Linked DNA regions of Sus scrofa. The protein of the gene in region 3 binds, or shares a complex with, the protein of the main gene of each other region. Links are inferred from orthologs where the notes say so. Each region holds a gene or a part of one and is shown on either strand. Other genes may lie near its edges.

Region 1 (3,572 bases), on a different chromosome or scaffold from region 3:
TGGCTGCTCCGCTCCTGCCCTCTCCTCCGGCCACTGCCCTCTCTGCGGCATCAGGGATCGCGCGTGGCCCCCACGGGACACGCCCCCTAGCGCGCGGGCTGAAGTACAACTTCCTTGCCCACCATTCATTCCCTGGGGTTTGGAAGGCCAGGTTGGACGGGAAAGTGGAGGAGAGGCTTTCCTGGCTGGGGAAAGGGATTCAGCTGTGTTTCGGAGTTGCCCTGTTCCTTTGGAGCGCCTGCCCATGGAGCTTTCTTTTCCGGGCGCAGGACTGCACTGACCCGCCCCTGTTGGGGAGCCTGACTTTCGGGTGGTGAAGGATCTGAACGGAGACCACCGCGCCACCCAGCTCGGCGCCCCGCCGCGGGGGAGGGGCTCAATAAAGAGCTAATGCGTCCCCACCCGCGCTCCTTTCGCTGCTCACTCTCTCAGCCTCGGAGACGTTCGCATCACCTCCCGCCCTCTCCAAATCTGGGACCATTTGGGGAGCAGAAGTGGAATGAACCCCTATTGGGCATCTCCTTGATATCAGGCACAGATTCGCGAGCCCAGTGCCAACGGAAGAGGGTGGGGTGGGGATGCGGCGGTACTGGGGCTTGAGTTCCTAGGAGACTTGGGGACATGGGGACCACAGGAACCTGGCTGAAAGCCGTCCTCCCGGAGCCCTCCAGCAGTACCCGGTTCCCTCTCTCCGGTCTGGGCGGCCCCACTTTCCCACAGGTTCCCACCCTGCTGTGGTTCCCTGAGCCCCCAAACAGAGGCCAACGGCTCTTCAGCACTTTTATTAAAAACTAGTATCGTGGGGAGTGCTCAGGGCATCTCTAGGCCGCTCTAGCCGCGCGGGACTAGGTCAGTTCCAGTCCCTCACGCCCAGCCTGGGGGTGGGGATGCAGGTCGAGGGTTTCAGGCCCCAGACCCAGATGATCACTTGCCCACCGAGTCGAATATGATGCGGTTCTGCTCGGCGCGCTCCCGCTGGCTCTGCGTCCGCGCCAGCTCCAGCAGGGTCCGCAGCAGGTGGAAGGTGAGGTCAATGGACAGCGGAGGGTCGTCCCGTCGCGGCCGCTCACTTGCGGCCCCGGATCCCCACCGGCCCTGCCCTGCGCGGCGTGGGAAGCGCTCGGCCAGCAACAAGAGGAGGGCGCGGGCCCCGCTGCCGCCGTGCTTCTGCGTCCTGGGACTCCAGCGCAGACTCGGGTCCTGGACCCCGGCCACGGCCGCCTCTGGGCTCCACTGGCTGCTCCCCGGACGCAGCTGTGCCAGAAGCAGAAGGGCCGCCAGCAGCGCAGCAAGTCCCGCCGGCCTCATGGTGCCACCGGCCCTGGACACACAGAGGCAGCGCGGGGGTGAGGTGCGTCTGGGACAGTCGCAGGTGGCACCACTCCCCTTCCCGCGCACGTCCAGCGTCCCTTCCCTAGCGAGCCCCTGCGACTGCTGCCCGGAGCCCGCAGCCTTCCCTCCAGCCCCAGCCGCTGCCACCCTTTCCTCCCTCCCTCTTGGTGGTGGGTGATTTGAGCGCTGTCCCGGTGCTGAGGGAAGCTGGGCGGATGCTCAGAGCCACTCACAGTTTGCGGGAGAGCGTCTGCTCCGTGCAGGACCAAGCTCCAGTCTCTGTCCCTCGGGGCGGGCTGAGGGCGCCTTGGGGAACACGGGGTCTGTCCCGGGACCGCCGCCAGCCTTATATAGCGCCAGGACAGCACCGAATGACGTCAGCAAGGAACATGCACTGATTGTAGAGCAATGACGGCCGCGGCTTCAAGTCCGACCTATAGCGGCTGCGAGACCCCGAGCAGGCGCACCTCAGGGCACTGGACTTGGCATGGCTGGAAGTGACACCCGACTCAAGAAAGTGAGAAGCCGGGTTGGGGCATAAAGATTGCTCTGGGAGACACAGAAGCCCTTCAACCACTTAGGATAGCCAGCAGGGACGAGAGGCGGGTCCCCAGACCAGACTAGTCCAGATCTCTTCTCAGGCACTTGAAAGGCAGGCTGGACCTTGGGGCTGTCCGTGGTGCTGACCTTGTCCTCAGCCTCTAGAAGGGGCCAGAGGGGTAGGGAAAACGCTGCTCAGACCCAGTCCCTGGCTCCAGCTATCAGTTCTGTAAACAGAGCCAGTTGGGACAGCACCACTGGCACTCAGCTATGGCCATGGTACCCACCCAAGGGGCAGCTGAGGCAGCTTGAGCTGCCAGGATTCTTGATCTTATTCTGGCCCCAGGATCTAAATTCTAGGGCTGTCTGACTGAGGCACCATTAAAAAAAAAAAAAAAAAAAAAAAAAAAAGGGCCTCTGGACTCAGGGTGCTTCCGGGCAACAAAAGGCTGGTCCATCTGCTTCTGGGTTAGCTCCAAAGTGGGAGTTTAGCCAAGTTAATTTTCCTCCTGGGAATCACAGCAGCAGTAGTTATTACTTTATCTTTGACCTCCCAGTTAAGATCGCTGGGTAGGAAGAAAACTTGGCATCTTAGTCTGAGCTGCTTTAACAAAAGTTACCATAAACTGGGTGGCTTATAAGCAACAAATATTTATTTCTTACAGTTCTGGCGGGCTGGGAAGTCCAAGATCATGGTGCCACTGGGTTTGGTGTCTGGTGAGGACATGCTTTCTGGCTCAGAGATAGCACCTTCTTGCCATGTGCTCGCATAGCCTCTTTTGTAAGCATCCTGATCCCATGAGGGCTCAGCCCTCCTGACAGAACCACTTCCCCAAAGCCCCACCTCCTAATACCACAACCTTGGGCATTAGGTTTTCACCATATGAACTTGGGGAGTACACAGACATTCGGACTATACCTTGTGGGTTCAAGTTTCTACTCTGCCACTAACTCAGCATGGACAGGTCACCTCACTTCTACGGGCCTCAGTGTCCTCATCTGTAAAAGAAGATTGGGCTTGGTGGTCTCCAGGCTTCTTTCCAAGCTCTAGAAAATGTAGCCCCCCCTCAGCAGTTTTTTGCTGGGTCTTATTGCTTCTGCAGGTTCCAGGTTATCTACTTAGTAACATTTACAGAGGCACCATATAAAGGGTTCAAGGGGGTGGTCCCTCCAAAACTAGAGCTACACTAAGGCTGGGAAGGGTTTGGAAAACAGATGTGTCTATGAAAAGGAGGAATGAGTGACATTTACTGGGATGTGGGTATAAGCTAAAGTTGACAAAACCATATGGTTCAATAAATATTTATGGGATGCCTACTATGCGGTGGGTATAAAGCCATTATAAAGGTTTTAGTGATTTCACAGGAGTCAGGTTACGTTTTAGAGTGAAATGGGCATTTCAGAGGGCTAACTCCATCAAGTTCTGACCAGCCACCAAACCCTGTGAAAACCGATGTGCCCACTTTAAGAGGTGGTCGGACCTCCCAGGGTCAAGCTGAATGACTGCAAGGCAAGCGAGGGAGGGAGGCAGGCTTAGAGCCGATGTGCCTTCCAGGACAGGTAGGAGTTCCAGATAACAGCAACACACTGGACGACGGCCAACCTACAGAACAGGGATGGCATCATGAAGAAGAGGAAAAAGAAGGGGCAGGCAAGGGGGGTGAGATGGGAAAGGGCAGCGGGAAGACAGGGATTATCTC
Region 2 (4,074 bases), on a different chromosome or scaffold from region 3:
CCTTCCTGCCAAGCACTCTGGGGGCTGGGCTATGCCCCCGTGTCAACACCTGGGTGGCCTGGGGGGGCAGGTGTCCTGCGGCGGTTCACGACACGGTATGGCATGTAATGTGGCCTGGCAGTGGTCCCGAAGCGGGAGGGCAGCTCTGGGCCTGGCGGCCTTGCGGACCCACATCCCTTCCCGTCTGCTCAGTGGCTGCCTGCCTGCAGGAAATGGCCCTGGGAGGCGACTTCGTATCAGGTGACCCCAGGCCAGCTTCCTGGCCTGAGCACCAGTCAGGCTCTGGGGCCTCCCCAGGCGGCCCCTGCTGTCTGGACAGGGCAGTGCGCCACAGGCAGCCCCTGCGCCGTCGCCCGGCTCCCTCCCCGCCGCTGAGGTCACAGGTGCAAGCTCTTTATCTGGCAGGTGCTGGCGGAGCCGAGTCCCACGGCTCCACCTGCGGGGAGAGGCATCCCTAGAACAGCAGGAGCAGCCTCCCCTAAGCAGTGGGAGGTGGGGCTGGGTCCAGCGGCCTGCCAGCAGCGCCCTCCCCTCCCAATGGTTCCTGTAGCTACCCGCCCCAGCCCCCAGCCCCTGCCCCTGTCTGCAGCGGCCCGGGCCTCCCCTACTCTGCCGCTGCAGGTGCAGGCAGAACCCTCTGTCAAGCCAGCCTGCTGCCCGGGTACGCTGGGCCAGCGAGGGTTGGGTCCCAGCTTCCTGGCAACAGGGACTCCTCCCTGAGTCTGTGCCCAGGCCTCTAGGTGGCACCTGAGGCCGGGCTGGGGAGAAGGGGGTGGGGGGCCCCAGGGCCCGCCCTCCCCGCGGCCCCGCCCCCGCCCTCCCCGCGGCCCCGCCCCCGCCCCCCGCCCCCCCATCGTCCCCCCCGCTGCGCTGGCGCGGGGGTCTCTGCCTCCCGCCCTCCGTCCTGGTCTCCGCGCTCCCGCCCGGCCCGGGATGTGCGAGGGCGTTTCTGGCGGCTGCACTCCGGACTGGGCGGGCGGCGGCGGCCTGGCCTTGTGCAGGCAGCTGGGGGAAGCGCCGGCGCCGAACAATTGCGGCCTCCCTGCCAAGGGCGCCGCCCAGCCCGGGAGAGGAAATGGGGCTGGGGGCTGGGCGGGCGGCCGCGCTGGCTGCCCCTCGGGGCGCCCTCGGTGCCCGCCTGAGAGGCCCTGGAGCCGCTGCGGGGGCGGGCGGAGCAGACCTGCCGCCCTCCGCCCTGCGTGCCGGCTCTGCCCCCAGCATCCGGTTTCAGGCGGAGCTGCCCAGCCTCGGCGGGGGAGCCAGAACCCGGCCCTGAGGGCCTTGGACCGGCGGCAGGTCGGCCTGGGGGCCGCCCCACTGCCTTTTCCCTGTCCCGAAGCCTCCCCTCCTGACGGCCAGGTGACAGCCCTTCCTCTGCTCGGGTCGTGCCAGCAGGGCCCGTGGGCCCCCAGAGCCTGCCTCCAGGGCTGCGGGAAAGCCGAGCCCAGGCCTCTCAGAACCATGCTGGGGTCTCGGGTGCACGTGGCTGCGAAGCTGGGGGCAGGAGGCTGGCCCAGCAGGAGCCCCAGCGGCCTGGCTGCATCCGGCTGAGCCTGAGGCCCAGGGTCTGCTCATTCCCTGAGCCTGTCATCACCCCTTTACAGATGAGCTGGTTAAGCTGCTACCCTGAGTGCTGGCTGCTCCAACTTGTGTGTGTGTGTGTGTGTGTGGTGTATGGCATGTGGTGTGCAGTGTGGGGTGTGTGTGGTATGGTATGTGGTGTATGTGGGGTGTGTGTATGTGGGTTTTGATGTGTGTGTTGTGTGTGGGGGGGTATGTGGCATGTGTGGTATGTGGCGTATGTGGTGTGTGTGTGTTGTGGGGGGGGTGTGGTATGTGGGGGGTGTGGTATGGGGGGGTGGCGTGTGGTAGGTGGTGTGTGTCCAGGCAGGACACTGAAAAGCCCCCGTGGAGGTTTGCTGGAGGCGGGCTTTCCAACCCCGCAGTCAGGGTTCTGCAGCAGAGGGGCTGCTGCTCCTCAGGGACCCCCAGAGCAGAGTGGCCCCCTGTCGGGCCCCCACTGAGGCCACCTGGTCCCGGGTTCTAGCCCACCTAGGACTGCCCCTCTGGGAGTGGCCCGGAGGCTGCTTGGACCTCCCTAGGGTGTCGGCCCCAAATCTGGGGGGGGGGGACAAGCTGCCCACCCCGGGGCAGCCCCTCCTCCAACCCCACGTGGCACTCCCAAAGCCCCATGGCCATGGCCCCCCCACGTTTTGGTGTCCCCCACGAGGGATGACTGGTTCAGGACCAAAGGTGGGTACAGGCTTGAAGGTCAGCATGATGGGGGGCTTGGGGACAAGGGACATGTCATGCCCTTGGAGAGAGAGGGGCTGCTGCTTCCACTGCCCAGGGGAAGGTGTGCAGAGGTCCTTCTAGGTCGGCTGGCGGCCAGGGGGCCCAGGCCATCCCCCTTCCCAAGGCGGATGCAGTGCCCTCTGCCTGCCACACCAGTCCTGGGCTCTGGGGCCCTGACTACCCTGGCCACGTCCACCTCGGCCTGGCCCCTTCCTGGGCTCTGAGGCTGCCTGCCCTGGGGTCTGCTTGACTGTCACCTCCCTGGGCACCCCCCATCGAACTGTGCCCCTGCTCTCCCGTGCCCCCAACAGGCCTGCCCCTGCCAGGGAGCCATGGGTGGGTGCGCCACCCAGGGAGTTGTGCTGAGAGAAGGACCGGGAGCCTCCTGGCTGTGTGGCCCGTTCTACTGGCCAAGCCTGCCTCTGGAGGCCCACGGGAACTCGGGCTCTGATCACCTACCTTCCGCCCAGCCCCCTTCCTCGTCCTCGCCCTCGTACTCCAGGGCCTGGAGGCGCACTTACTGGAAGCAAGGTTAGGATGGCCCTGGGTGGAGAAGCAGACGCTGCTCAGTGGGACAAGACAGATGCTGTGGGCACCGCCCCCTGCAGCTCTGAGACCCTAAAAGCCTGGCTTGGAGCGTGGCCCCCGGGAGGGGGTCCTGGCCTTGTGCACAGATTGTTTGAATAATTCAGATTTAAGAGACCTACTTTCCCGTCAGAGCTCTTCCTGCTGCAGAGCAGATGGGGCAGGGGCATCTGAATTATGCATTCTGCTCCCCAGGTTTTTAGTGAGGGCTGGGCACCAAGCCAGGCACTGTCCCCTCAGGCCCAGCTGGCCGGGCCCTTGCTGAGTAGGCTGAACGGACCACAGGCTGGTCTCAGAGCCATTTGTCTAGAGAGCCAGGGTTCTCTGCGGGGGTCAGGAGAAGCCTGGGCTCCTGGCTGGGCGCAAGCTCTGCCTGAAAGCACCCTGACTGACACCCCACCGAGGAGCGTGCTGGGTCGCAGGTAGGGGCCAAGAACAGCCAGAGGCCTGGAGGGTGGGGCAGGGAGAGCCGGGGCCCCAGAGCCTCCTCCAGACCCTTGAGGTCATGGGGCCCCAGCCAGCCAGAAACCAGAAGCTGTCATGGGCTCCTGAGAGCGGACCAAGGCCCCAGGCAGGTGTCTAGGGCTCTGACACCTGGGGACCCTGACACCTGGGGGCCAGATGCGGATGAGGCCTCAGGCTGCTAGGGAACTGGGAATAAAGGCCCAGGGTCCCCTGTTCCTTCCTGGCTTCCCCTCAACTTTGCCCCTCACACCCAGTCCATAAACACATAAACAGGATTCCAGGCCCTGGCCACAGGGCAAGGCCCTGCCACGCCCTGCAGATTAGCTAGGGGCCACAAGGCTGCACCCCAAGGTCTTAGAGAGCTGGGCAGGCTCCGGCCTGGGGTCCTCGTGCTTGGCCTTGCCCTGCAGCCCTGCTGGAACGGGGAATGGGCCTGGCCAGGCCAGTGGTAGCCTGAGGCATGGGGAGCCCTGGGCCTACCCTGCCAGGCCTCCTGCTGCCAAGTCAGGCCAGCTCTCAGGTGGGCATGCAGGGACCCAGAATGGCAGAAGGGTCCTGAGGGCCCCTCAGGTCTCCTGCCACCCCCACAACCGCAGAGCTGCCCCATAGAGACCGCTTGCCCAGGGCCCTCCTCTGCTCTGCTGCTGGGCCTGCCCCTCCACCTTCACATCTCTCCTCCTCTTCCCTCTTCTCCCTCCTTCCCCCTTTCTCCTCACTTTCCCTCCCCCC
Region 3 (4,172 bases):
CTGCAGCTCCGATTGGACCCCTAGCTTGGGAATCTCCATGTGCCGCGGGTGTGGCCCTAAAAAGACAAAAAAAAAAAAACAAAACCAAAAAACCAAAATAATGGAAACGGACTCACAGACTTTGAAAACAAACTTATGGTTACTAAAGGGAAAACCTGGGGGAGGAGGGGTAGATTAGGAATTGGGGATTAACATCTACTCGCTACCATATATAAAACAGATAATCAACAAGGACCTACTGTAGAGCACAGAGAACCCAACTCAATATTCTGAAATAACCTATGTGGGAAAAGAATCTGAAAAAGAATGGATATATGTATGTGTAGAACTGAACCACTTTGCTGTACACCTGCCCCTACCCTAACACAACACTGTAAGGCAACTATATGCCAATATAAAATAAAAATTAAATTAAAAAAAAAAGAAGTCCCATCCCACCAGGACCCACCCTGCCCCTGGAGCCTCACAGCATCTCTTCTCAGGGCTGGGACTGCGGCCCTCCCCCAGCTTGCTCAGGACACCCCATCTCCACCTCTGCCATCCTGCCCACTTCCCAGCAGACTTCCTCCCAATCCAGGCAGAGGCTCTCACACCTGCACACAGCTGCTCTTAGTTCCCATGACCAGAGCTTGTAAATGTACACAGTTCTTCACATTCATTTTTTCCTGCCAGCGTCTCCTCCAGGCTATCAACTCCACAGGGCAGGGGGTGGGGTGGGGGGGTGGGCTGCTGTTTTCTCCCTTGTGTCTTTACCATGCACGATCCTCTTTAACTACTGGCTGAATCAAGTATTACTGAATAAATAAAAGGGCTGGAGGCCAGCCCCCGCTCTCACCCTGCCCCGGGTCACCTCCCTTCCCCATCACCCACTCAGGTCACTTACTTTCATTTCAGAAATCTCAGAATAGTTGGATGACGACCCAGGAATAAACCCTGTTACCACGAAGACCCAGAGCAAAGACGCCTGCATTTGGGGGCCAGAGACACTACGTTCCTCTCTAGCTGGTTGCGTCCTGAGGAACTTGGGGTGAATCACTAGTCTCCGGTCTCAGGCTGTCCAGGGAGGGTTGGGGGCAGGCCCTGGGCTGACTCTAAGGGGAGAGGAGGCTGTTGCCTCTGAGGTACCCAGGGTACCCTCCCCCAGACCCCTCCACCTGGCCAGGCTCTGGGGCAGCAACCAGAAGCCTTCTCCCTCGAACCAGCTTGGGCAGTTGGCATCACAATCCACAGAGGGGAGGGCCGAGGGGCAAGCCTGGCCCTAACAGCAGCCCTCTTGGAAGGCACCTATCCTGGGAACAAGTGGGTGGGGACCAGAAGAGCTCAGAGCCCAAGACAGGGGGAGTGGGAGGTGAGGGGGTGGGGGGGGGCACTGAGCTCACTCCACAGCCTCCATGCCACCCAAATGCAGCCTGCAATGTTATTAAGAGGACCTGGCATGTCTAGGAGCCACTGGGCCATCTGCCCATTGGGGTACTGACCACACCTCACATGGTGCCCACTCCTCCTCTCCACTTGACCAGACCCCCTGGGAGGGCAGGGCCCCCCCGTGTCTTCATCTCTAGTACCTGGCACAGAACTACAGCTGCATTTATTGAGCGTTTACTCTGTGCCAGGCACGGTGCTCGGAGCTTTCCTTCCTCGTGACAACCCTATTCAGGAAGCACCCAAATCATCCTCGTTTTACCCGGAGGAAACTGAGGCTGAGGAAATTTGAGTAGCCTGTCCAAGGTCACCCACTCAGCACAAAGCGGGGCTTTGAATCAGGTTGTTGGCAAAGCCGCTCTGCCACGGACAGTGGGCGCTCACTATCTAGCTGTTGAATGAGATGAGGGCTAAACGGAGGAGTCCTCTGTGTACATGTGGGGACAGGAGCAGGCCTGCTGGCCTCCAGCCTGGCTCTGTCCCTTGCACCGTATGGCCTCTGAATCCTTCTGATGTCGTGGTTCTTCATGAAAAGTGTGGCCTGGGACAGATCACCCTCCCTCTCTGAGCCTCAGTTTCCCCATCTGTAAAATGGGGAGAGGATTAGAGGTAGATTCCTCCTGTATCCAGTTCTGAAACTTGCTCCCTCCTGGCCTCACCCCCTCTTCTCCAGAGCGTTCTGTGCAGCTCCTTCTCCATCCCTTCATCCCTGGCCAATGGGTACCAGGTGGGGGTTGGGGGGACACCCACAGCTTTGAGAAACCTCTAGCAAGGTTGGTTTGCCCAAGCGCCCCCCGGCACCGTTGCTCATTTGCTACTAAGGGCTTCCTGGTTTCAGGTGCAGAGAGGAGGGTGGGGACAGGGCTGCGGGGGTTGGGGGGCAGCTCTCTGGTGGTCCTTTGCAGGGAACGGCCAGAACTGTCATGGGGTGAGGAAGGGACTGACGCTCCCGCAAGGGAGATGGAGTGGGATCCATGGGGAGGAGACAGGTGGACAGGGGATAGAGAATTTCTGGACCTGAGGCAGGGCATGCCCCAGACACTAGTGCGGCCCCAGAACGTTCTGCTCAGCCACAAGGGCTTCGGGGTCTCATCCCAGCTAGTGCGAAAAGTTTCATCTCCCCTCCACCTGCCCCTCACCCAGGGAGGACATCTCTAGTCCATCCCCGGATGCAGGGCTGCCCAACCCCATCCCGGCCACCGAGCCCTGAGACCTCCTCCACCCAGCTCCTAACAGGGTCGAGGAAACTGGGCCCAGGAACCAGCAGTGAGACCCCCTACGGCCTCGCGGTCAGGAGAGCACGGAGCTCCAGCTCCCGGCGCCCCCACCCTGAGAACAGACCCTCACTCCCGCACTTACTTTGAGCAGCGGCGGGAGGAGGCAGAGCAGGCAGAGGAGCGAGCGTGGGGCGAGGAGGAGGCGAGGGGGCCCCGTGGGACCCCCCATGCCCTCAGCGGCTGCTGACAGGAGCGCACCTCCAGCACAGCGGGCCCGCCCCGCCCGCTGCCCTCCCTCCCCCCTCCCCCTTCCCCTTCCCCCTCCCCCTCCCGCCTCCCCCGGTCGGAGCTGTGTCGGCCCCTCCCTCCCCACCGCGCCAGGCGGCCAAGGTAAGGCCTTGACCACTGGGGCAATCTCCCCACCTCCCTGGGCTGCAGTGACACCGCCCCGCAGCCCGCCCCCTCCAGGTTATTTATAACGGTGCCCCGCAGCAGCTTCTGCCCAAGCGGCCAGGGGCCAGACTGCCTCCAGCCTGCAGAAAGGGGTTAATGCCTCTTAGCGGCTGGCCAGCCACCTTTGCCAGGGCTGTAGCTACCCACGCCGGGGAGAGAGGAATTGAGAAAGGGAGGAGGAGTCTCGGCTGTGGTTGTGGCCAGAGCACACAGTGCCCCCGGGGCGGATCTCATCCCCTGCCAAGCTTTCCAGCCCTGCAGGCATCTTCCAATCGCCGGGAGTTTTTACCAGGCACCACTGCCTCTTGGGACAATTGAAATTTGATCTTGGAGGCCAGACTAAATAATAGTTTTGTATCCATGTTCAATTCCTGATTTCGATAACTGCATATTCTTAGGGAATATTTTTTAGACTAAAGGAAGACAATATAGCGAACTTATTTTCAGATGGTTCAGAAATACACACAGGAGTTCCCACTGTGGCTCAGCAGGTTAAGAACCTGATTAGTATCCGTGAGGATGCAGGTCCATCCCTGGCCCTGCTCAGTAGCTTAAGGATTCAGTGTTGCCACAAGCTGCGGTGTAGGTCAGAGATGTGGCTCAGATCCCATGTTGCTGTGGCTGTGGTGTAGACCTGCAACTGGCAGTTCAGATTTGACCCCTGGCCTGGGAACTTCCATGTGCTGCACGTATGGCCCTAAAAAAAAAAAAAGAAAAAGAAAGAAAGACACACACACAGCGCATACCACACACAGACATGTAGATGAGAGAGAGAAGACAAGAAAACAGATAAGATAAAATTAAATAACTGGTAATGTGGGCAAAGGGTATGTGGGTATACTCTGGATCTTTCTTCCAACTTCTCTGTAAGTTTGAAATAATATGCTAACAATATATTTGAAAAAAAAGCAAAAAACAACCACAACAAATGCAGCAATGCCAGGCCCCACCCAGAAGTTCTGATGATGTAGGTTGGGATGGGGCCCTGGCATTGGGAAGTTTCTGTACATTTCACAGGGATCCGAATATGGGGCAGTGCTGAGCAGCGTCCTCTCAGGAACAGGTCCAGCCTGGGGCTGG

What was found. The genes of interacting proteins can lie anywhere in the genome.
Region 1: the proteins of CRHR2 (region 3) and UCN are in contact, whole or in part, in a cryo-EM structure (PDB 7TS0), measured with the Homo sapiens proteins. The link is inferred for Sus scrofa from reciprocal best matches to the Homo sapiens genes CRHR2 and UCN. Residues at the interface, in NP_001874.2 of Homo sapiens: Phe68, Asn69, Gly70, Val71, Tyr73, Ile101, Leu102, Asp103, Asp104, Arg107, Asp110, Tyr113, Leu117, Asn120, Trp166, Leu169, Gln170, Val172, Asp173, His174, His177, Glu178, Thr188, Phe191, Asn192, Phe199, Phe256, Gly257, Lys258, Asp265; in NP_003344.1 of Homo sapiens: Asn84, Pro85, Ser86, Leu87, Ser88, Ile89, Asp90, Leu91, Thr92, Phe93, His94, Leu95, Leu96, Arg97, Thr98, Leu99, Leu100, Leu102, Arg104, Thr105, Ser107, Gln108, Arg111, Ala112, Asn115, Phe119.
Region 2: the proteins of CRHR2 (region 3) and GNB1 are in contact, whole or in part, in a cryo-EM structure (PDB 6PB1), measured with the Homo sapiens proteins. The link is inferred for Sus scrofa from reciprocal best matches to the Homo sapiens genes CRHR2 and GNB1. Residues at the interface, in NP_001874.2 of Homo sapiens: Arg142, Ser143, Lys372, Arg376, Asp379, His380, Ser382, Val385; in NP_001269468.1 of Homo sapiens: Arg42, Gln44, Arg46, Arg52, Phe292, Val307, Ala309, Gly310, His311, Asp312.

The regions. Positions count from the first base shown.
Region 1 is NC_010445.4:111,832,861-111,836,432, reverse strand, and holds UCN (urocortin), read right to left. Parts: upstream 2,352-3,572; 5' UTR 1,566-2,351; intron 1,322-1,565; 5' UTR 1,309-1,321; coding exon 925-1,308; 3' UTR 501-924; downstream 1-500. Other genes in the region: protein Mpv17, read right to left, coding at 3,406-3,475. UniProt on the Homo sapiens protein: Acts in vitro to stimulate the secretion of adrenocorticotropic hormone (ACTH). Binds with high affinity to CRF receptor types 1, 2-alpha, and 2-beta. Plays a role in the establishment of normal hearing thresholds.
Region 2 is NC_010448.4:63,954,715-63,958,788, reverse strand, and holds the start of GNB1 (guanine nucleotide-binding protein G(I)/G(S)/G(T) subunit beta-1), read left to right. Parts: upstream 1-1,274; 5' UTR 1,275-1,296; intron 1,297-1,337; exon of another isoform or gene 1,338-1,359; intron 1,360-4,074. UniProt on the Homo sapiens protein: Guanine nucleotide-binding proteins (G proteins) are involved as a modulator or transducer in various transmembrane signaling systems.
Region 3 is NC_010460.4:42,250,530-42,254,701, reverse strand, and holds the start of CRHR2 (corticotropin-releasing factor receptor 2), read right to left. Parts: upstream 2,948-4,172; 5' UTR 2,869-2,947; coding exon 2,782-2,868; intron 1-2,781. UniProt on the Homo sapiens protein: G-protein coupled receptor for CRH (corticotropin-releasing factor), UCN (urocortin), UCN2 and UCN3. Has high affinity for UCN.